2 linked regions of the Pelodiscus sinensis genome follow. The protein of the gene in region 1 interacts with the protein of each later gene in a pairwise test. Links are inferred from orthologs where the notes say so. Each region holds a gene or a part of one and is shown in the gene's direction. Other genes may lie near its edges.

Evidence for each region.
Region 2: the proteins of NUDT18 (region 1) and HSD17B14 interact in binary tests that used the Homo sapiens proteins (3 or more experiments, as listed by UniProt). The two-hybrid records come from large-scale screens. The link is inferred for Pelodiscus sinensis from reciprocal best matches to the Homo sapiens genes NUDT18 and HSD17B14.

Annotation. Positions count from the first base shown.
Region 1 is NC_134738.1:11,703,552-11,713,451, forward strand, and holds the start of NUDT18 (8-oxo-dGDP phosphatase NUDT18), read left to right. Parts: upstream 1-5,778; 5' UTR 5,779-5,856; intron 5,857-6,967; 5' UTR 6,968-6,969; coding exon 6,970-7,128; intron 7,129-9,900. Other genes in the region: HR (lysine-specific demethylase hairless), read left to right, coding at 256-432, 872-994, 1,644-1,706. UniProt on the Homo sapiens protein: Mediates the hydrolysis of oxidized nucleoside diphosphate derivatives. Hydrolyzes 8-oxo-7,8-dihydroguanine (8-oxo-Gua)-containing deoxyribo- and ribonucleoside diphosphates to the monophosphates. Hydrolyzes 8-oxo-dGDP and 8-oxo-GDP with the same efficiencies.
Region 2 is NW_027465977.1:63,901-73,436, forward strand, and holds the start of HSD17B14 (L-fucose dehydrogenase), read left to right. Parts: upstream 1-5,076; 5' UTR 5,077-5,179; coding exon 5,180-5,354; intron 5,355-5,430; exon of another isoform or gene 5,431-5,711; intron 5,712-6,689; coding exon 6,690-6,734; intron 6,735-7,016; coding exon 7,017-7,117; intron 7,118-7,460; coding exon 7,461-7,527; intron 7,528-7,742; coding exon 7,743-7,834; intron 7,835-8,225; coding exon 8,226-8,330; intron 8,331-8,580; coding exon 8,581-8,648; intron 8,649-8,899; exon of another isoform or gene 8,900-9,032; intron 9,033-9,114; coding exon 9,115-9,211; intron 9,212-9,454; coding exon 9,455-9,536. Other genes in the region: PLEKHA4 (pleckstrin homology domain-containing family A member 4), read left to right, coding at 205-305, 504-651, 747-826, 1,251-1,412, 1,678-1,873, 2,355-2,980. UniProt on the Homo sapiens protein: Catalyzes the NAD(+)-dependent oxidation of L-fucose, yielding L-fucono-1,5-lactone, which rapidly converts spontaneously to L-fucone-1,4-lactone. Can also act on D-arabinose and L-galactose, with lower catalytic efficiency. Does not use NADPH.

The DNA of each region.
Region 1 (9,900 bases):
CACTCCCTCTGGGGCATTGGCCACTGTGGGCAGACAGGACACTGGGCTAGATGGACCTTTGGTCTGACCCAGTCTGGCCACGCTGATGACCCTCGCGGGGGGCTGGGCCCAGAGTCCATTCCCAGAGGGTTTCTGAAATCTGTTCTTAGCACTGCACCCAGGATCTAGTGGGCACGTGCCCCGCCCAGCCCTGAGGTCTCTCAGCTGAGACCTGCCACACTCATCTCATGTCAGCTGCCCCCTTTCCCCTGGCAGGTGTGTAAAGCCTCAGGGCAGGACGGGGGAGAGCAGCTGGATCCGAGCGGCCGCGGGAGCTGCTACCTGGACGCGTCTCTGCGCCGGAGGCTGCGGGAGGAGTGTGGTGTGAGCGGCTGGACCCTGCTCCAGTTCCTGGGCGATGCCGTGCTGGTGCCGACGGGTGCGCCCCACCAGGTCAGGAGCCCAGCTCTGGTGCACGTTAGCCCTTGCCAACGGGCTGGGGATCGGGTGCTGCCCCCTTTGACCCTAGCCAGGGGGTCCTCTAGGAACATCTTGCATGTCTCGCCAGGAGTGCGCCAAGCACGTGACAAAGCGTCATTATCGCCGTTTGGCAGTTGGGGAAACTGAGGCACGGCGCGTGACAGCGACTTGCCCGAGGTCACCCAGCAACAGCGTTGGGAGTTGAACCCCAGTCTCCTAAGTCCCAGGACCCTATCCCCTGGGCCGTGCGACCTCCTAGGATGCCTTTTATCCATGCATTAATCAGCAAGCGCAAGGAAGCACCTTTCCCCTGCCTGGGCACCTGCTCTCTCCTCCGGCAGGATGGGGCCTTCCCCTTCTGATGCTTCCCCTGGGGCTCCCTCATGCGCTCTCCCCCCCCCCCCCCCGGCAGGTGCAGAGCCTCAGCAGCATCATCAGCGTCACACAGCGATTCCTGTCGCCAGAGAACGCCGCCCGCTCGGCCCGGCTCGTGGCCACGGACCCTGCCGGCATTGCACAGAGACTTCATGCACAGGTCAGGGGCTAACCTCCCCGCACAACCCCTCCCATCTCTCACAGGGGGGTGCCTGGCTCAGCTGGGTAGGGTCAGGAATAACTGTCCGAGCAGCTGTCTCAAGCTAAGCAGAATCCAGCCCGGTCAGCATGTGAATGGCAGAGACCAGCTGTTGGCGATTCGCTCTGAATCCAGGGTTCTAGGGGCCAACCAGGGTGCTGAAAACAGAGAGGGCCGGCCTGAGATACCAATGTGATTTTTGCAGGGGTCCAACTATGAACCTGGCCTCTGGCATGTCCAATGGGGTTACAACACTCTGCTTCCTTCCAACCCCCCCGGCAGTTTCAGGTGTAAATGGGGTTGCTCTTTGCTTCCTGTTGTGCCGCGCTGATGTCCGTCAGCGGTTGTGTTCTGCCCCAGAGCTGGCTGCATTTTGGTCTGAGGCGAAGCAGCGTCTCTGATCGTGCCTGGCTTGGCTCTGGTGTGGGTCCGTCGATTTCAGCTCCGCTCCTCCTGCTTCCCACGGCCGGGAGTGGAGGGAGAGTCGGGCCCGTTGCAGGCAAAGTGCCGCAGGGTGCTTCGAGCTGCCGTGCTCGATAGAAATGGAAGGGGTGATGGGGATGCCCCAAGGAGCGTGTGCACCAGTGTCTGAACCCCCCTTCTCTTGCAGATGGACAGCCTGGTGTACGGTGCTGTGCGGGAGGCAGTGGGAACCCTGCAGGGCTACAATTAAGGCACTAGCAGACGTGCAGCGCGGAAAGCCAGGCTGGCTTCGGACCAGGGCTCCAGGAGACAGAAGTGAGGCGAAGGGGGCTCAGGATTCCTGGGGAGCCACAGCTGCCCGTCGGGACGGGGAGTGGCTCTTTGGTGCTGGCTCAGACAGGCCGGGGCTGTCAGGCTGACGTGACCAGAGCGCGGGGTCCCAAGAGGAAGGTCTCTCGGACAACACGGAGCCCAAGCACGCTCGGGCCCCGCTGCTGCCTGGAGCACCGGGAAGGGCAGCAGCTGTGACGTGAGCAGGCAGGGCGGGATGAGCCGCCTGTGAGCCCGTCCTGGGCCGTGGCCCCCGGCATGTTCCACGCGGCCCCGGCCTGGAGCCCTCGGCGGATCGGACAGCCTGCCAGCTGCGTGGGGGTCCCTGGCCGCCATTCTGCACTGAGCGCTCATCCGGCAGGGCCCGGCTCGCCGGACGTCACCCCGGTGCTCGCTCCGACGGCGCCCGCCCACCCCGGCGTTGTCACGTTTGGTGCTTCCTTCGGTGATGTCACGCCCCGGGGCTCGCGCTGCAGCAGGGATGCTGGCAGGGCGCTGTCCCCGCAGACGCTCTCAGGGGGGCCACGGGGCACCAAGGAAATAAACGGCTGAGACGAGTCTCTGCGGAGACACGGCCGACGTCACGTGCAGAGTCCGTGTCTGTTGAATTCTCTCTCCCGCTCTCCCCTTTGCAGGCGGCTTGGGGCAGGGCAGGAGGAGTGAGGGTCTAACCATGGGCACTGGATCCGAGCCAGCAGCCAGCAACGCTTGAGACCCAGATCTCGCTCGGCCTTCCCCACCTCTCCCTGGTCCCCGCTGCCGGCTGCCTGAGAATCCACACCATGGCTGGGCATTAAAACTGGGGCAGTGGGTATCCTGGGCCCTGCCAGTGTGGGAAGCTTGGTTAGGGGGGTAGTGAGCTGTGGGAGGGGGGCGTTTCTGAGGGGTTTGTCTATTGGGAGCAGCCCCCCACTCTTCCAGCTGGCCCCCTGGATTCTCTCTCCAGGCCCGGGAGATCCCAGCAGGCAGACTGGCGTGACCCCTTTCCGATCTCACCGGGGGCTGCAGGAGGTGACCCCGCAGCCCTCTGGTTTATTCCGCTCTCCTGCCTGCGCCCCTCCGGGCTGCACTCTCATTGCTGGGCACGGGGGCTGAGCGAGCTAAGTGGGGTGAGATCGGGCAGCAGCCGCCCAGCCTGCTGGACGGATGGTCCCTCCCCGCAGGCGTAACGAAGGCAGGAGGCGGGGGCTCATGCCCTCGGATGTCACCGCCCAAGGAGAGCACATATCTGGGCTCTCCCTGGAGCTTGGGGACCAGAGCGGAAATGGGGCAAGGCCTGGAGTCCCCAGGCGGCTGTGGCTTGGGGGTACGTTTGCCCCAGTCCATTATTACAAGGGACGTCCCTTATTTTTCATCTCTGGGCGACACGCTCGGGTTGCCGAGCGCTGCTCCAAGCAGCGAGATACCCCGGGAAGCGTGGTGCTGCTCATAACAATGATTGATCCTCAGAGGAAGGGTGGGGCAGGGTGCTAAGAAACCAATCCCTTCGTTTTGAATTGCAAAGTTGGCGACCCTGCTTGAGGTGGGAAGCTGCACCGGGAGGGCGGGAGGCTACCCGGCCCTGCCTCGGTTTCCCTATCTGTCACACGCCCAGGCAGCCCCAGCTTGGGCAAAGCAACAGAGCCGCTCTCCTCCTGCAGCGCCCGTGCCTTGCCGGAGGGCCTGTTCCCATCTGTTCTCTGCTGCACCAGTCGGTAGAGATGCCCCCTCTCTCCACAGACCAGGGCCACCCTCCCCACGCAGGACCCGGGCGGCTGCTTAGCGCTTTCTGAAGGTCGTGCCGGGCGTGAGGCTGCTCTGCTGGTGCAGGCGTGGGACGGGGCTGGTCGGCTTAGAACGCCCTCCCCGACCCAAGCTCGCGGCTGTGCCCGTTAACGCGAGTCAGGGCCTCCACCCAGGCACCGAGGAGCTGGTCGCGTAGGCAGCAGGGGCGTGACACTCGCTCGGCTGCCCTCCTGCCTGTTGGCACCGTGTGGGGTGCCCCAGTGGGACGATGCTGAGACGTCGCCGGGGGAGTGGGGGGAGCCTGGCGTTTGCTGCACCTCCCAGTGTGGGGCGGATCACTGTGCTCAGGCTGTATTTGGTGCCGCACATCCTGGGCTTGGCCTCACCCCCGGCACTGACTCGGGATTCGGCGCGTGCCTGGATGATGTTGCACCAGGGCTGTGTTCTGGGCCCCGTGGCTCAGGGCTCGTTTGGCCGCGATCACCCAGAAGCTTTGCCCTGTGGTCCCTGTGCTGACCCCGGGACGCCTGCACTTGGAGCCCGGCCTCTCCACAGCAATGCCCATAATTCTCTGCCCAAAACACTCCCCTTGTGAGGGTCCATTTCCCATGGCCATGAACCCGTATCACAGATGGGGCTTTCGGTGGGCAGCCCCTGGGACAGGATGGTGCATTCTGGCGAGAGCAACAAGCGAGGCCCTCAGGGCTGTGGGAGGGAAGCGGTGTCTAGTGGTCAGAGCGGGGGTGGGGGGCCTGCCTGGGAGTCAGGGCTCAGCTCTGATGTCTACCTCGTGGGATGAGTGTTGTGTAGTGAGCAGAGCCGGGGCTGGGCTCGGAGTCAGAAGCTCTGGGCTCTGGTCCCATTTCTCCCCGACCGGGTGGGGTCAGCAATCCTGAGCAGCCTCCCGGAGGGCGAACCCACTGATGTCTGCGAAGCACTTGGAGATCTTGGACCAGGAAGGGCTGGCCTGGGGCCCATGTCAGATTTCCCCGTCTGCTGCGCCGGACATGGGGCCCCTGGACAATGCTTCACAGAGCCTGCCCTGTCCGTCCTGTCTGCCAAGCCAGACTCACAGCCTTTGGGAGCTCAGAGAGGATGGGGGAATCCCGTCTCTCCTCCCTGTTCTTGCAGGCCACTCCAGGGCTCCTTCCAGCGCTCGACTCCGCCTGCAAGTCAGGCGCTGCGGCTCCTCCGCACCCGCAGCCCGCCAGCTAAAAGAAACGGCCCCGGTTCCGCCCTGCAGATGAGTGAGAGCTGAGAGTTTAGCCGGCCAGGCAGGGTCAGCCCGGGTCAGGGAGGGATCAAGCAGCCAATCCCCACAGATTAAGAGCCGGTCATTTCAGGCTGCTGTGAATTAGACCCTGTCAAGTGAGGCGCTGGGGTAAGTTTAGACCAGATGCTCCGCTTGGCTGCTGGCCAGCTGAACGCTGCTCTGCTTGGCTGGGCCACACGCTCTCCCTGCTTTCCACAGGCCTCTCCCGTCGCTTGTGACTCTGGGTGGGAGGCCAGATAGTTCCCTTTTTCCAGGAGACAAAGACACCCTTTGAGTGAGCAAAAAGCCTCCGAAACTCTCCCGGCTCCAGGCATTGGAGGGGGGTGTCCAGGGTTCAGGGAGCTTCCCCTACGAGGTGGATACATCAAACCCAGCCCTGCGTGGAACCCCGTCGCTGCCTGCAGCTAGTCAGTGCCATGAGTTTGATGGGGCTCAGGCCAGTTCCCGCTCATGATTGATGGGGTTCCCCCAGCGCCTAGGCACCCGTCCTGGCTCAGGACCAGTGTTCCCCGTAAGCCGAGTGCTTGGGCAGCCGCCCGGGAGAGATTCAAATGCCGCCCAGCGGAGTAGCAGAGCACCCCCAGCCGGCAGCCTGGGTTTCTACCTACGGAGCACGTCCGCACATGCCTCGGTGCACGGAACAAAACTTATTCCACACATGGATGGAAAAAATGAGGGGCTGGCATTGCCCTCTAATACCCCGGGGGGGGGGGCTGGCACTGGCCCCAATGCCCCGGGGGGGGGCTGGCACTGGCCCCTAATACCCCGGGGGGGGGGGCTGGCACTGCTGGGTGACCCCGCCGCCCTATGGCAGGGGTCCAGGGTGCCCCCCCCTCCACGTCGCTACGGAGGTGCCCAGAGCAGGACATCGCGAGCCCTTGGAGGGGGGTGGGGGGGTGACGCGGCCCCTTTAAGAAGAGGCTCCTCCTCCCCGCCTGGGCCGGCTGAGTGACCGCCCCTCCTGCCCAATGGAAGGGGAGGGGCGGGCCCCAGCCGGCCAATGGCAGCTGAGCGTTGCCAGCCTCTTCCGGGGTGGGAGGGGAAGGGAGCGGAGGCCGCCGGGGAAAGTGGAGTAAGTGGGGGGGAGCCAGGGGGGCTCCCGACTCCTCCTGCCTCAGTCCCCGGGGCCCGGCCCCGCCCCCTGCCCGGGCCCCCCAGCTCGGGGGGGTCCCCATTGTCTCCCCAGCCCCCCCCCGCTCTAGGGGCCCCCCAGCCCCCCATTGTCTCCCCAGCCCCCCCCCCGCTCTAGGGGCCCCCCAGCCCCCCATTGTCTCCCCAGCCCCCCCCGCTCTAGGGGCCCCCCAGCCCCCCATTGTCTCCCCAGCCCCCCCCGCTCTAGGGGCCCCCCAGCCCCCCATTGTCTCCCCAGCCCCCCCCCCCGCTCTAGGGGCCCCCCAGCCCCCCCATTGTCTCCCCAGCCCCCCCGCTCTAGGGGCCCCCCGCCCCCCCATTGTCTCCCCAGCCCCCCCCCGCTCTAGGGGCCCCCCGCCCCCCCATTGTCTCCCCAGCCCCCCCGCTCTAGGGGCCCCCGCCCCCCCCATTGTCTCCCCAGCCCCCCCGCTCTAGGGGCCCCCCGCCCCCCCATTGTCTCCCCAGCCCCCCCGCTCTAGGGGCCCCCCAGCCCCCCCATTGTCTCCCCAGCCCCCCCCGCTCTAGGGGCCCCCCCGCCCCCCCATTGTCTCCCCAGCCCCCCCCGCTCTAGGGGGACCCCCAGCCCCCCCATTGTCTCCCCAGCCCCCCCCCGCTCTAGGGGCCCCCCAGCCACCCCATTGTCTCCCCAGCCCCCCCCCGCTCTAGGGGCCCCCCAGCCCCCCCATTGTCTCCCCAGCTCTGGGGGGGGTCCCCCAGCCCGTTCCTGCCCCTTAAGCCCCAGCTCTCAGAGCCCCCCCTTTTTCTTGCTGACCCCCATGAGAGATGGGGGGGTGCAAGGGGGCGGGGCTATTTGGGGCTCAACCCCCCCCATCCCAGCTGGCCCCAGTGCGCTGGAGCCTTTGCTCCCCCGCCCCCCCATGACCCCCTTCCTGGTGTGGAGTATTGGGGTGCAGGAAGACAGCTGCCCCCCCCAGCATCTGTACCCCTTGGGCCCCCCCATTTCAAGGGCGCTCAGGTCACCCTGCTCCCGTCCCCACAGCCCCCTGGTCCCTCCTGGTGTCTGACCCGTGGGGGGGGTTGGGGTGTTGCAGCCATGGCCTCCGGGGCTCCGGCGGAGGAGCTGGACGCCGTGCTGAGTGGCAGAGGCTGGGAGGTGCAGGAGCGGTATGACTCGGCCCCCGCGCCCGCTCACCCTGTCAGAGTGCGGAAGACCGTCTGCTACATCGTTTTGGCCGTCCTGCTGAACGACCAGGTGAGGGAGCCCCACGGCGCTAGCTACGGCTTGGGGTTCTCCTATGGTGCCCATCACCGTGGCATCGAGTCGCTGCAGGGTGAACGTCCACAGTCCAGAAAGTGCAGCACATCCGGCTCCTTTCAAGCTGTCTCAGTTTGGGTCCCCCGAATCACTGGCCACTCTTGGAAATCTTGGCCTGTGTTTTTAAATTAACTAGCACTTTGTTTCAAGGCACTTTTACAAAGGTGAGGGAAGTAGTCTCTGCACATTACCTCTGGGGAAACCGAGGCGCACAGAGAGGTGAGATGATGTGCCCAACATCACAGTGGGTCAGTAGCACAACATGGAGTGAGACCCAACTTCTTTGCGTGTGTTACTAACAACTCAATCGAACAAAGCTCCAACAACGAAGGCACTAGACTAGTAACTTTTGATGGTATAGCGTCATCTGCTAGATGTGTGATTTCTTTTTTTGGCTGGGATGGGTTGTTTTAAATGAGTAATCAGGAAACCTTGATTTAAAGAATAGATTTTAATATAATTGTGCATTTGTATGTTTTAGTCACTTTCAAAAGGTTGAGTCTCATTGGTTGGTGAAGATGAAAACATTGATTTGCAGCTAAATACAGTCTTTAAATAAACATGATTCTTTTTGCTACCCTGGAGAATATTTGTTTTAACAATTCTGTAGCGTAACATACCTCTTAGGGTTGTCAGTTAATGCGCATTAATGCCTCTGATTAATGCAGAGCAGAATTAACGTGTTAATCGTTTAAACATGCATTAATCTCAGGTGTTTCCACGGCGCTGCCTCTTTGAAATGCCACGGCTGCGTTTCAAAGGGGCAGAACAAGTGGAGCCCAGGATAAGCTGTGTGGCGCTGCCCCGAGCCCACAGTCAGCTGTGCGGTGCTGACCCTTTGAAAAACTGCCGCGGAATTTCAAAGGGGCAGCGCTGCATGAAGCCCAGGGTCAGCTGGGGATTCCAGCTGATCCTGGACTCCCATGGTGCTGCCCCTTTAAATGCCCCTTTGGAACACCACAGCAGAATTTCAAAGGGGCAGCGCACCATGGAGCCCGGGATCAGCTGGAGTCTTCTTATTGTTTAACAGCGCGATTAATCGCGATTAATTTTTTAAATCTCTTGACAGAACTAATACCTTTAGAAGTGGGTCTTTGCCCACGAAAGCTTATGCTCCAACACTTTGGTTAGTCTATAAGGTGCCACAGGACTCCTCGCCGCTTTTGCAGATTCAGACTAACACGGCTACACGTCTGATACTCAATACCTTTATTGAAATTCTTAATTCTTTTCAGCTGAACATTGACTTCATTCAGCTATGGAACTTTACTGTGCTGAAAAAAATAGTTTTTGTAACCATTGTAGCTTAAATGAAACAAGCAAAGACAGTTTCCTTTGTCAAATCTTTTTAAAAGTGTTCTTTATCTTTGTAGTGGTTGATGTTTAACGCAGTACCATACTGGGGTTGCTTTTTTTATTTGTTTCTCTCTGTTGCTGTCTGTGTATTCAAGTTCCAAACGAGGTGCATGGTCAACACTGAGGTTCTATTGTACTAGAAAGTGTTTTTCAACAACTGGGTCCAGTCCCCGAGGTACAATTGAGAAGCAGCAAGCCGGTCCCTCACATCAAAAAAGATTAGAAATGATGTCCCAGTTGATTTGATTTTGTTGCTTGTAATTTGTGTCAAGCTCTGTTTGGACAGAAATTGGAATTCACGTACAAACACACAAAAAAGCATTTTGTAATTTTTTTGGTTAGTTACATAAAACTTCCTTAAATGAGTTGGTTACAGAATTGGGGGGAGGGGGAGAGAATATCAAAACATAATTTTGTATTTCAAATCAGCTAATTTAGTGAACAAAGGAATATCTGTTAATTAACCAAAGTGATCTTTTTCGGGTCCCACTTCCTTTTGAATTTGTAGCTTTCTTCTGCACACCTAGGCTACGTCTAGACTGGCATGATTTTCCATTAAAAGCATTTGCGGACAAGAGTGTCCAGATTGGCACGGACACTTTTCCACAAAAGCACTTTTTGCGGAAAAGCATCCGTGCCAGTCTAGACGTGCTTTTGCGCAAAAAAGCCCCGATGGCCATTTTCGCGATCGGGGCTTTTTTGCTCAGAACAAATCTGAGCTGTCTACACTGGCCCTTTAGCGCAAAAGGACTTTTGCCCGAATGGGAGCAGCATAGTATTTCCGCAAGAAGCACTGATTTCTTACATGAGATCGTCAGTGTTCTTGCGGAAATTCAAGTGGCCAGTGTAGACAGCTGGAAATTTTTCCGCAAAAGCAGCTGCTTTTGTGGAAAAACTTGCCAGTCTAGACACAGCCCTAGAGTGTATTCCTAGATTGGATAGGGGAAAAGAAGTTGTCATACTCTGAGCACTCCTGGTTGGTTTCTTCACTTTAAGCTTTGAACTGTAGTCAGTGACTTATTTTCAATTTTAATTAAAGATTATCAAAAGCTAGGTTAGAATATCAGCAAACTCTGGTTGCAGTTGCTTAACCAATGACTTTCCGTAGTTTGACTTCGTTTTAAAGCATGGCAGCAAACTTGTAATACCTAATGCGGTTTTTAATTTAATTGATTTTTTTAAGAGCAAAGGAAGACTAGGCCTTTTATTTTAGGTCATCATGATTTCATATTACATTTTTTATTGAGGTTTATCGTTAAAAAGAAATGTATGTAAGTTAAAATCTCATTTAAATGTCTCATTTTTTTCATTTTATTTTTCTAATCAATTTTATTCCCCTTGGTTTTTGCAGCA
Region 2 (9,536 bases), on another chromosome or scaffold:
GCGGGGGCCCGGGGGGGGGATTGGGCTGCAGGGGTGTGGCGGGGGCCCGGGGGGGGGATTGGGCTGCAGGGGGTGTGGCGGGGACCCGGGGGGGGTTGGGCTGCAGGGGGGTGTGGTGGGGGCCCGGCGGGGGCCTGGGCTGCAGGGGCTGGGGTGAGAGTCCTGGCAGGGGGGGTCACTGACTCTGTTTTGTCTCCTTTGCAGGCTTCTCTCCGGCTGCCTCCCCCGTTCTGGAGCCTGGGGGGGGCTCAGCCCAGAGCCCCCTCCCAGGGCCGGATGGAAGGAGCCTTGAGCCATCTGCCAGGGTGAGGGGGGGGCTGCACTCCTGGGGGGGGGACCCATCCTTGGGGAGTGGGGACTGGCTGGGGGAAGAACTGGGGGCTGCTGTCAAAGGGGGCCCCAATTCTGACTGTCCTAGCCCAGCCCCCCAGCCCTGCCAGTGCCCCTCCCTCCCACCCCACAGACCCTGGCTCCCCCCCCCCACGTCTCTCTGTTCCCCGCAGGGCGAGGCAGCTGGCGTGAGGGACGAGGTCCCAGCGACGAGGGGGGAGACCTGGGGCTCCCAGCCCCCCCAGGGCCCTTCTAGAAGAGGGGCTGGGTCCCCCGAGCTGGACGGAGGGCCCCCCCTGCAGGAGACAGACGCGGCACCAGGTGCGGTTCCTCCCCCCTTGCCTAGTCTGTCTGGGGAAACATGCACCCCTCTTGTCCCTTCCCCGCCCCTTTAACCCCCTCCCCTGCCCCCACAGGTCTCCACTCGCCTCCAGCCGCCCCCCGCCCAGGCCCCCTGGAGCCCTGGGAGCAGAGAACCGAGGAGCTGCCAGCCAAGGTAGTTGGGCTCCCTCACTCCCCTGGGAGTCGGTGCCTGGGAGCCCAGATGCCTGGGTTATCTCCCCAGAACAGGGAGGGCCCTGGGGTGTAGTGGTTAGAGCGGAGAGGGGAGGGGCTGGGAGCCCAGACGCCTGGGTTCCCTCCCCAGATTGGGGAAGGGGGTGTGGTCTAATGGTTAGAGCGGAGAGGGGAGGGGCTGGGAGCCCAGACGCCTGGGTTCCCTCCCCAGATTGGGGAAGGGGGTGTGGTCTAATGGTTAGAGCGGAGAGGGGAGGGGCTGGGAGCCCGGACGCCTGGGTTCTCTCCCCACATCGGGGAAGGGGGTGGGATCTAATGGTTAGAGCGGGGGGGAGGAGGGGCTGGGAGCCCGGACGCCTGGGTTCCCTGCAGGTGTTTGGTCTGCGATTCTCCCCTTACCCCAGGAGCGTGTGCCAGAACCCCCTGGTCCCCACCGGGCCCGGATGAGCATTGAGGAGCAGCTGGCGAGGATGCGGCGGCACCAGGAAGGGCAGAGGCAGCATGAGGCGGCCAGGCCGACGCCTGGGGCTCCTCGGCCTGGCTCCCTCCGGACCAGCGCCAGCCGGGTGGGTACGCAGCCTGCGGGGGAGGGGCTGCCAGGGGGTGGGGCATGTCCTGAGGCCACACCCACTGTGCCCCCCCAGTCAAGCTCACCTCCGGCCTGCCAGTAGTGCAGGGCCCCTGGGTTCTTTCCAGGTTCGGAGAGGGGAGCGGGGTCTAGTGGTTAGCGTTAGAGGTGTGTGCCTGGGTTAGGACATGGGCGGGGGGCGGGGCGGACACGCTGAACTGCTTAGATTCCCTCCCTTCACTCCGCCTTCCAAAATTCTCCAGTTCCGCCTTCCAGCTCCCCCTCCCAGCCTCGGGCCGGAGCCAAGCCTGACCGACATGGACGTACCAGTGAGGGGGGGGCAGACCAAGGGACACTGGGGCGGGCCTTCCCTACCCCCCGAGAGAGACCGTCACCGGATCAGGAGCCTGGCATACGCGCTGGCCACCGAGGCCTCTGAGCGCAGCAAACTCATCACAGGTAACAGGGCTGGGGGCCTGGACACTCGGGGGGCGGGGGGGCGGGGTCTAGTGGGCAGAGCAGGGGGCTGGGAACCAGGATGCCCGAGTTTTACCCCCCCCTTTAGGGGCCTCTTTCTAGACCCCCTCCCCTCCCCTCCCCTCCCCTCCCAACGGGAAAACAGCTAAACAAACACAGTGGAAAATGGCTGGAATCTGGTTCAGCTGTTGGGGGAATTTCTGGCTCCGGCTGGCAGGTCCCTGGGGTAGGAACAGCTGGGGGGTGGGGGAGAGTCTGGGGCAGGGGGTGGGGCTGGGCAAGGGGCCCATTTCTCTTTAATTCACTGAAGATCTGAAGGGGTTGCCTCATGCCCAGCCCCGTGCCCCACCCCAGAGGTGGCTGCATCTCCATGCTGGGTGAGGGGTCGCCTATACCCAGCCCCCCCCACCCCAGAGGTCTCGGCTTTGGGGGGGGGTGACTCTGGTTTCCTCTCTCTGTGCAGGGAAGCCCCCGCCTGAACCCCAGCGGGAGGGCTGTGACCCCCGTCTGAACCCCTCCCCAGAGTCGCTGCATGCAGTGACCAATCAGCACTTACCGCTTACCATGATAGCCTCCAGGGAAGACCCAGGGGCCAATCACGTCGTGACTAAACCGTGCAGCCCGGCCAATCAGAAGACGGCATTTACCGCCCAATCCGTGCAGCGGGCAGAATCAGCCAATCAGGCATCGCCTCTAAATCAAGCGGCCAATTGGGCATCGTCTGTTTCTGAGTTTTCTCACTGGTTGTCCGCCTCGCCAGATGCAGCCAATCAGGCCTCGTGTCTGTCGGAGGCAGCCAATCGGGCATCGCCACTGCCGGACACATCGCATTGGGCAGCCCCGTTGCCTGAATTGGCCAATGGGACGTCGACTGTACACAAGGCATCCAGTCGGGCGTTGCCTCCGCTCTGGGCCTCCCAAAAGGATTGTGGGAATTGGGTGCTGGAGCAAAGGATTGTGGGTCACAAAGGCTTGGCCAATGGCAGGTGCCAGGGGCAGGGTGCGCATGCCCCACCCAGCCAGGTGGTGGCGTACCTGTGCGAGGGGAGCCAGCCAATCAGGATAACCCTGCTGCAATCCAGCTTCTAACCCATTGGCTCAGAGGCAGGGTCAAGTCCCGCCCCTTCTCTGCATCATCGGGGGGGGGGGCTATATATGGGGATGTGCCCAAAGGGGAGGTGGGGCTGGGACCCAGGGTCAAAGGTCAGACTGGGGACTCCCTAACCCAGTCACCAACCAGTTGATCTTGGGATCCTGACTGGTTTGGCCGGGAAGCTCTCAAGCGCTGCCCCTCTGCCCCACGGTCCTGCTGCTCCTGCCCTCTGCCTTAGAGCTGCCCCCCAGAGCCTCCTGCTCGCTGTGCAGGGTGTGGGGCGGGCAAGGGGGGGCGCTGATGTCAGGGTGTCTCCCCTCTCCCCCACTTCTGTATCCCATCTCCACACAGAGAGAAGGGGATGGAGGGAGCGTGGCAAGGCAGATCTCACACTGTGTGTGTGTCCGTCTCTGTCTCACCCCCCCCCCCCCGTCCTTCCCTCTCCTCTCCCCACCCAACACACACGTGGGGGGTTGTTACTTTTCCTGCTTGCAAAGTGGGTTCCTTTCGGTTTGGGACAGCTCCGTGCGTGTCATCGTTTTCGTTTCTCTAGCGCGTCAGTGTCATTCTTTGGGCCGTGAGTTCTAAACTGCCGCACCTGCCGTGGCCGGAGTCACCAGCCCCGTGGCCATTGCTGCTGGTGGAGATGGTCCCATGTCCCTGCAGCCCCTGAGGGAGGCAGAGCAGGGGGACTCCACATGCCGACCCCGCTCCTACAGCTCCCACTGATCAGTAACGGGGAACCGAGGCCAGTGGATGCTGTGGGCTCAGTGCCGGTAGAGGAGGGGCAGCACATGGCGCCACGGAGCTGTTGCTGAGCTGCCAGCTGCTTTCAGGAGCGGGGCGGGGGCAGGGTGGACGTCAGCTGCCTTAACCCCCCTGCCCCACCCAGCGGAAACCGCCAGAGTCTGCTCCCTGAACCCCTGTCCCTGCCCCGAACCTTCTCCTGCCCCAGACGTGAGTCCCCCTGCACCCAAATTCCTTCCCAGAACTTGCACCCTGAACCCCCCCGGACCCCGATCCCCCGCCCTTGGCTGAGCCCGGAGCCCCCCCCATGCCAAACCCCTTGGCCCAAGACCAGACCCTGCACCCCAACCCCCTACCCCAGCCTGTGTGAGTAAGTGAGGGTGGGGGAGGAGAAAGGGGCCTCAGAGAAGGGGCGGGGGAAGGGTATGTGGGGGTGACATTGCCCCTCCATCGAACAGGTGACCTTGGGGTTAAAAAGGCTGGAGACCCCTGCCCTAGCCCCATGCAGGGTCCCAGCATCTTGCTGCCCTCTGGTGGGCAGATTGGGAAGTGCACTCCCTGAACCCTCTTCTAGTCCAGCCCCCCACCAGCTCTGCCAGTGCCCCTCACAACCGCCCTGCAGCCCCTGCCCTAGGCTCCCTCCCAACACCCACCCTACAGGAGCTGCAGCGAAGGGGCCAGTCAGGGGCCAGTGGGAAGGGGGATTTGTGGGGTACTGGATGGTCCTCTGCCCCCCACCTGGGCTTTGGGGCCAGCAGATTTCAGCCACAGTCCCAATGCAGCTGGAGTCAGAGACGTGGGAACCTGCTAATTGCTGACAGCCTGCACTCTCCCCACTGCCAGGGGCTTTCTCTTTGGGCGGGGCGAGGGGTCCTTGTGTACCCAGCCCCCGCCCTACTGCAGTGGGGCCCTGGCCCAGCGCCAGTCAAGGGGCCCCTGTCAGTGTTCCCCCTAATCTTTTCCATCTATGTGTGGAATAAATTTTATGTGTACCAATGCATGTGCGGATGTGCACCACCTGTGCGGAAGAAATGTGCGTACCGAAGCATGTGCGGACGTGCACCGCCTGTGCAAACAAAACTGAGCTGTGGGCGCTCTGCCAACCTGCTCGGCTGCAGCTGACTCTCCCCTGGATGGCCGCCCAAGCGCTCAGCTTACAGGGCACACCGGTCCCTGGATACCCAGAACCCCACCCCAGGGGCAGCTGGGAACTCAGCCTCGATTTCCCCTGGACCCTCGGGGCGTTCGTGGGGGCACATCGCAGACAAATGTACTCAATAAATCTCATTTATGTTGCCCTTGTTGAGCCCTTGAATCTCTGAAACTTTATTGCCCAGACAAATCCCCTGCCCCCCATAGCCAGCCAGGCCCTGCCCTGTGGCCGGGTGGGAGCGGCCCCCTAGAGGGAGGATGCCCCGCCCCCGCCGGACAGGACTACATTTCCCAGGATGCACCGCCCCTCATGTGCCCTGCGGGCAGCAGCTTCCCTTTTTCCCTCGCCCCGAGCAGCTGCGAGCCCGGGTGCGCCCAGCACCATGGCCTCGGGGCTGCGCTACCCGGGCCGGGTGGCCATTGTCACCGGGGGCAGCCGCGGCATCGGCGCGGCCATCGTGAAGGAGTTTGGTGCGGGGGGACCTGCAGGGGGGCTGGGGGCATTGCGGGGGGGGGGGCGCTTCTGGGGCCAGGGGCTTGCGGGGGGGGGCGCTTCTGGGGCAAGGGGCTTGCGGGGGGGGGCTGCAGCGGGGTGAGGAAGCTTGGGGAAGGGGGGGCAGTAGGGGGGCGGAGGCGGCCGTGGGGGAGCAGAGCCCTGCGGAGGGGATCAGGGGAGATTTGTGGGGGGCTGGGACATTGCAAGAGGGTGGATGTGGGGCTCCTGGGGGGCTGGGAGTGGGGGGCAGACTCCAAGGTTGGGCTGCGTCTGGCATCTTCGTGGACTTTGTCTGTCTGTCCCGTGTCCATCTATTCGGCCGGTCGCTGACCCTGGGAGATGGGGGGAGGGGCCATGGGTGAAGAACGCGGCAGCGAACCCCCTGCAGCCCCCAAACTCCGCTGCTAACGGGGAGACTGGACTTATTGGGGGGGTCTTCCCCTTCCTTCCCCTCCTCCCTCCCCCTCCCCCTCCCCCTCCATCCCCTTGTTCAGTGGAGACGTGGGGGGGACGAGTTGAGATTAATGTATCTTGAGATGTGTGGGGCTGGCCAGCAGGGGTCAGCAGAGCTGCATCGTCTCCCACGGGCACTGCTGTGAGGAAGCTCGCAGCACCACGCGGGACGTTCCCATCTAGGGCCACTGCTGGGAGGAAGTTCAAATTCCTGGGTGAAGGGGGGCGTGTCCCTGTCTGGGGGCACTGCTGGGGGGAAGCTCGCAGCACCAGGGGGAAGTTCCAGTCTAGGGGCACTGTTGGGGGGGAAGTTCACATTCCTGGGTGAAGGGGGGCGTGTCCCTGTCTGGGGGCACTGCTGGGGGGAAGCTCGCAGCACCAGGGGGAAGTTCCCATCTAGGGGCACTGCTGGGGGGAAGTTCACATTCCTGGGTGAAGGGGGGCGTGTCCCTGTCTGGGGGCACTGCTGGGGGGAAGCTCGCAGCACCAGGGGGAAGTTCCCGTCTAGGGGCACTGTTGGGGGGAAGTTCACATTCCTGGGTGAAGGGGGGGCGTGTCCCTGTCTGGGGGCACTGCTGGGGGGAAGCTCGCAGCACCAGGGGGAAGTTCCCGTCTAGGGGCACTGCTGGGGGGAAGTTCACGTTGCTCTGTGTGTGTCCCGGTCTGGGGGCACTGCTATGGGGAAGCTCGCAGCACCAGGGGGAAGTTCCTGTCTAGGGGCACTGCTATGGGGAAGCTCGCAGCGCTTGGGGATTTACTGGTGCTGGTGTTTTTACTGCTAACTTGATTCTCTCATCTCCCTCCCCCATGTGCTTCTCCATCCCCTGTTGCACCCCGCTTTGTCCCCTCCCCCCCAGTTCGGCAGGGAGCCAATGTGGTCTTCTGTGCCCCCCAAGCTGAAGGTGAGAGATTGCTCCCTGTGTTTCTGGGGGTGAGGGACGTAAAATCCCGTTTAATTGGTTAACCATTCACATCCCTACTGGGACCCCTGTGGCCGAAGTTGGCAGCCTGGGGGGGTGGGGGGGAGGGACTAGTCTCCTTGTGCTGATGGGGGAGGGGGAGAATAGTTCTCTCTCGGCTCCCGAAATCCGTCCTCCTGCCAGAACCGGTTCCCCCCCCTTTCCTGGATAGTCTCCCCACCCCATGTTTGGTGTCTGTGCTCCATAGCCCCCTTTCCCTTGCAGAGGCCATGGGGCGGGCCCTGGAGCAGGAGCTGCAGGAAGCGGGGGGCCCTGGAGAGCCCCATTTCCAGCCCTGTGATGTCACCAGCGAAGAGGAGATCCAGGTGGGTGGGGGAAGTGGTACGGGGGGGGGGGTCTGCTCCAGGGTGGGGGAGGGGCAGATGCAGCAAGTGTATATTACTCTCTGTGCTTTCTGTGGGGGGATGGGCAATACTGGGGGGGGGGGAACCTCAGCTTGGGGCCCAGTGGGTCAAATTCCCCCCACCTGTGTCCTGCTCTGGACCCCCAATTCCTTCTTCCCCATCCCCACACCCATCTCCCTGCTCCCCCCACCTCCATCTCTGCCCCCACCTTGCCCGATTCCCCCACATCCTCCCTCCCCTCCCACACCCAGCCTCTTGCTCCCCTTGCCCCCCGCAACCCCCCACCCGTTCTCCTGCCCCCCAGGCGCTGATCGCGGTGACCTTGAAGCGCTACGGCCGTATCGACTGCCTGGTGAACAACGCCGGCCGCCGTGAGTGGCCCCCCCCATTGGGGGACAGGAGGGGGGGCCCCTGGGGCAGCCCGGGAGTGTGGGGGGAACCCCTGAGCTGGGGGGCTCAAGGGCCATAAAGGGGTGTCATGGGGGGCCCCGCGGACTTGACGGAAGGGGAAATGGGGATCCCAAGTCTGAGTCGGGAGGGGAGGGGGTTTGGGGCCGGAGTCCCACTTTTCACCCCCCACCCGCAGATCCTCCTGAGGAGCAAATTGACGACGTCACCGCCCAGCATTTCCGGGCCCTTCTCGACCTCAACCTGGTCGGCTACTTCCTGATGGCAAAGGTGAGAGTTGCCCCCACCCTGGGAGGGGCTCCCAGAAACCCAGGCCCCTTGCCCCACCCCAGAGCCAGCTGCATCCCAGGGCTAGGGAGGGGCTCCTGTATAGCGAGGCCCCGTGCTCCACCCCAGAGCTGGGGGGGGGGTTCCTGTAATCCCAGCCCCCAGCTCCCACCCCAGAACCAGCTGCATCCCAGGGCTAGGGAGGGGCTCCTGTATACCGAGGCCCCGTGCTCCACCCCAGAGCCGGGGGGGGGGGGGTTCCTGTAATCCCAGCTCCCACCCCAGAGCCAGCTGCATCCCAGGGCCCGGGAGGGGTTCTAATGTGCCCGTCCCCAGTGCCGTGCCCCAGAAGCAGCTGCCTCTCCCCCACCTGTCTCTCACGTCTCTGGTGCAGTCCGCCCTGCCCTCTCTACGGGAGACCCGAGGCAACATCATCAACATCTCCAGTCTCGTGGGCATCATCGGACAGAGGCAGGCGGTTCCCTACGTCGCCACCAAGGTACGGGTAGACTCAGGGGAGTCCTGGCCCCTGCCCCCCTTGCTCTAACCACTAGCCCCCACTCCCCTCCCGGAGGAGGAGGAGAACCCAGCTGTCCTGTGCCTGTAGCTATTGCTGAGCAGACCGTTTGGTGGGGAGGGGGGGGTCACTCAGCACAGACCCATCCCCCCACCTGGGATCTGGTGTTTCGCAGGGGGGAGCGGGAGGGGCGGAGTCCCTGACAGCCCCTCGATCTGGAGTCTGTCCCCAGGGCGCGGTGACAGCAATGACGAAGGCCATGGCGGTGGACGAGAGCAGATATGGGGTGCGAGTTAACAGGTATCTTGGAACCTCCCCGGGGCGTCCTGCCACGGGAGAGCTCGCAGCATCCGGGATCGTCAGCGGTCGGGGGCACTGTCACGGGGAAGTTCACAGCGCCAGTGGGTGTTCCCACCTTAGGGCGTTGCCGTGGGGAAGCTCGCAGCATCTGGGATTGTCACCGCCTCGGGCACTGTTGCAGGGAAGCTCGCAGCATGGCCACCGGTTGGGGGCACTGCTGCGGTGAAGCTCGCAGCGCTGGAGAGACTTACCTGCCTGGGGGAGCACTGTCGCAGGGCAGCTTGGAGGTGTCCTTCACTCAGGGCACTGCTGCAGGGAAGTTTGCAGCCCCCAGGGGTGATCCTGGTCGGAAGGCACTGTTGTGGGGAAGTGCACAGCGCTAGCCTTGTGATGAGGCAGGGGGTGAGCATTTGAGAGCACATGTGGTGCTACATTGTCTTCCCCCTTCCCCCCCCTCCCACTCCAGCATCTCTCCTGGGAACATCTGGACCCCCATGTGGGCGGAAGCAGCTGGACAGACTGCCAATCCCAAGGCCACGATCCAGGCTGGGAAGGATGCCCAGGCAAGCGGATGATATGGGGGCTGGGGGGAGAAAGTGGGGGATGGGGGGGTGCCATAACCCAGGTGGGGGGCAGCTGGCGGGGGAGGGGGCAGGAAACTGGAGGGCAGGAGGGGGAGCCCAGTGCGGGAAGGGGCGGGGTGGAGGCCTGGAGGGTGGACGAGGGGGACCAGGGTCGAGAGGGGCTAGGGGAGGGCAGAGGAGGGAGCAGTGACTGACAATCTCCCCCCCCCCCCCCCTGCACAGTTGCTGGGCCGGATGGGCACCGCCGAGGAGTGTGCCCTGGCCGCGATCTACCTGGCCGCCGAGGGCACCTTCTGCACCGGGA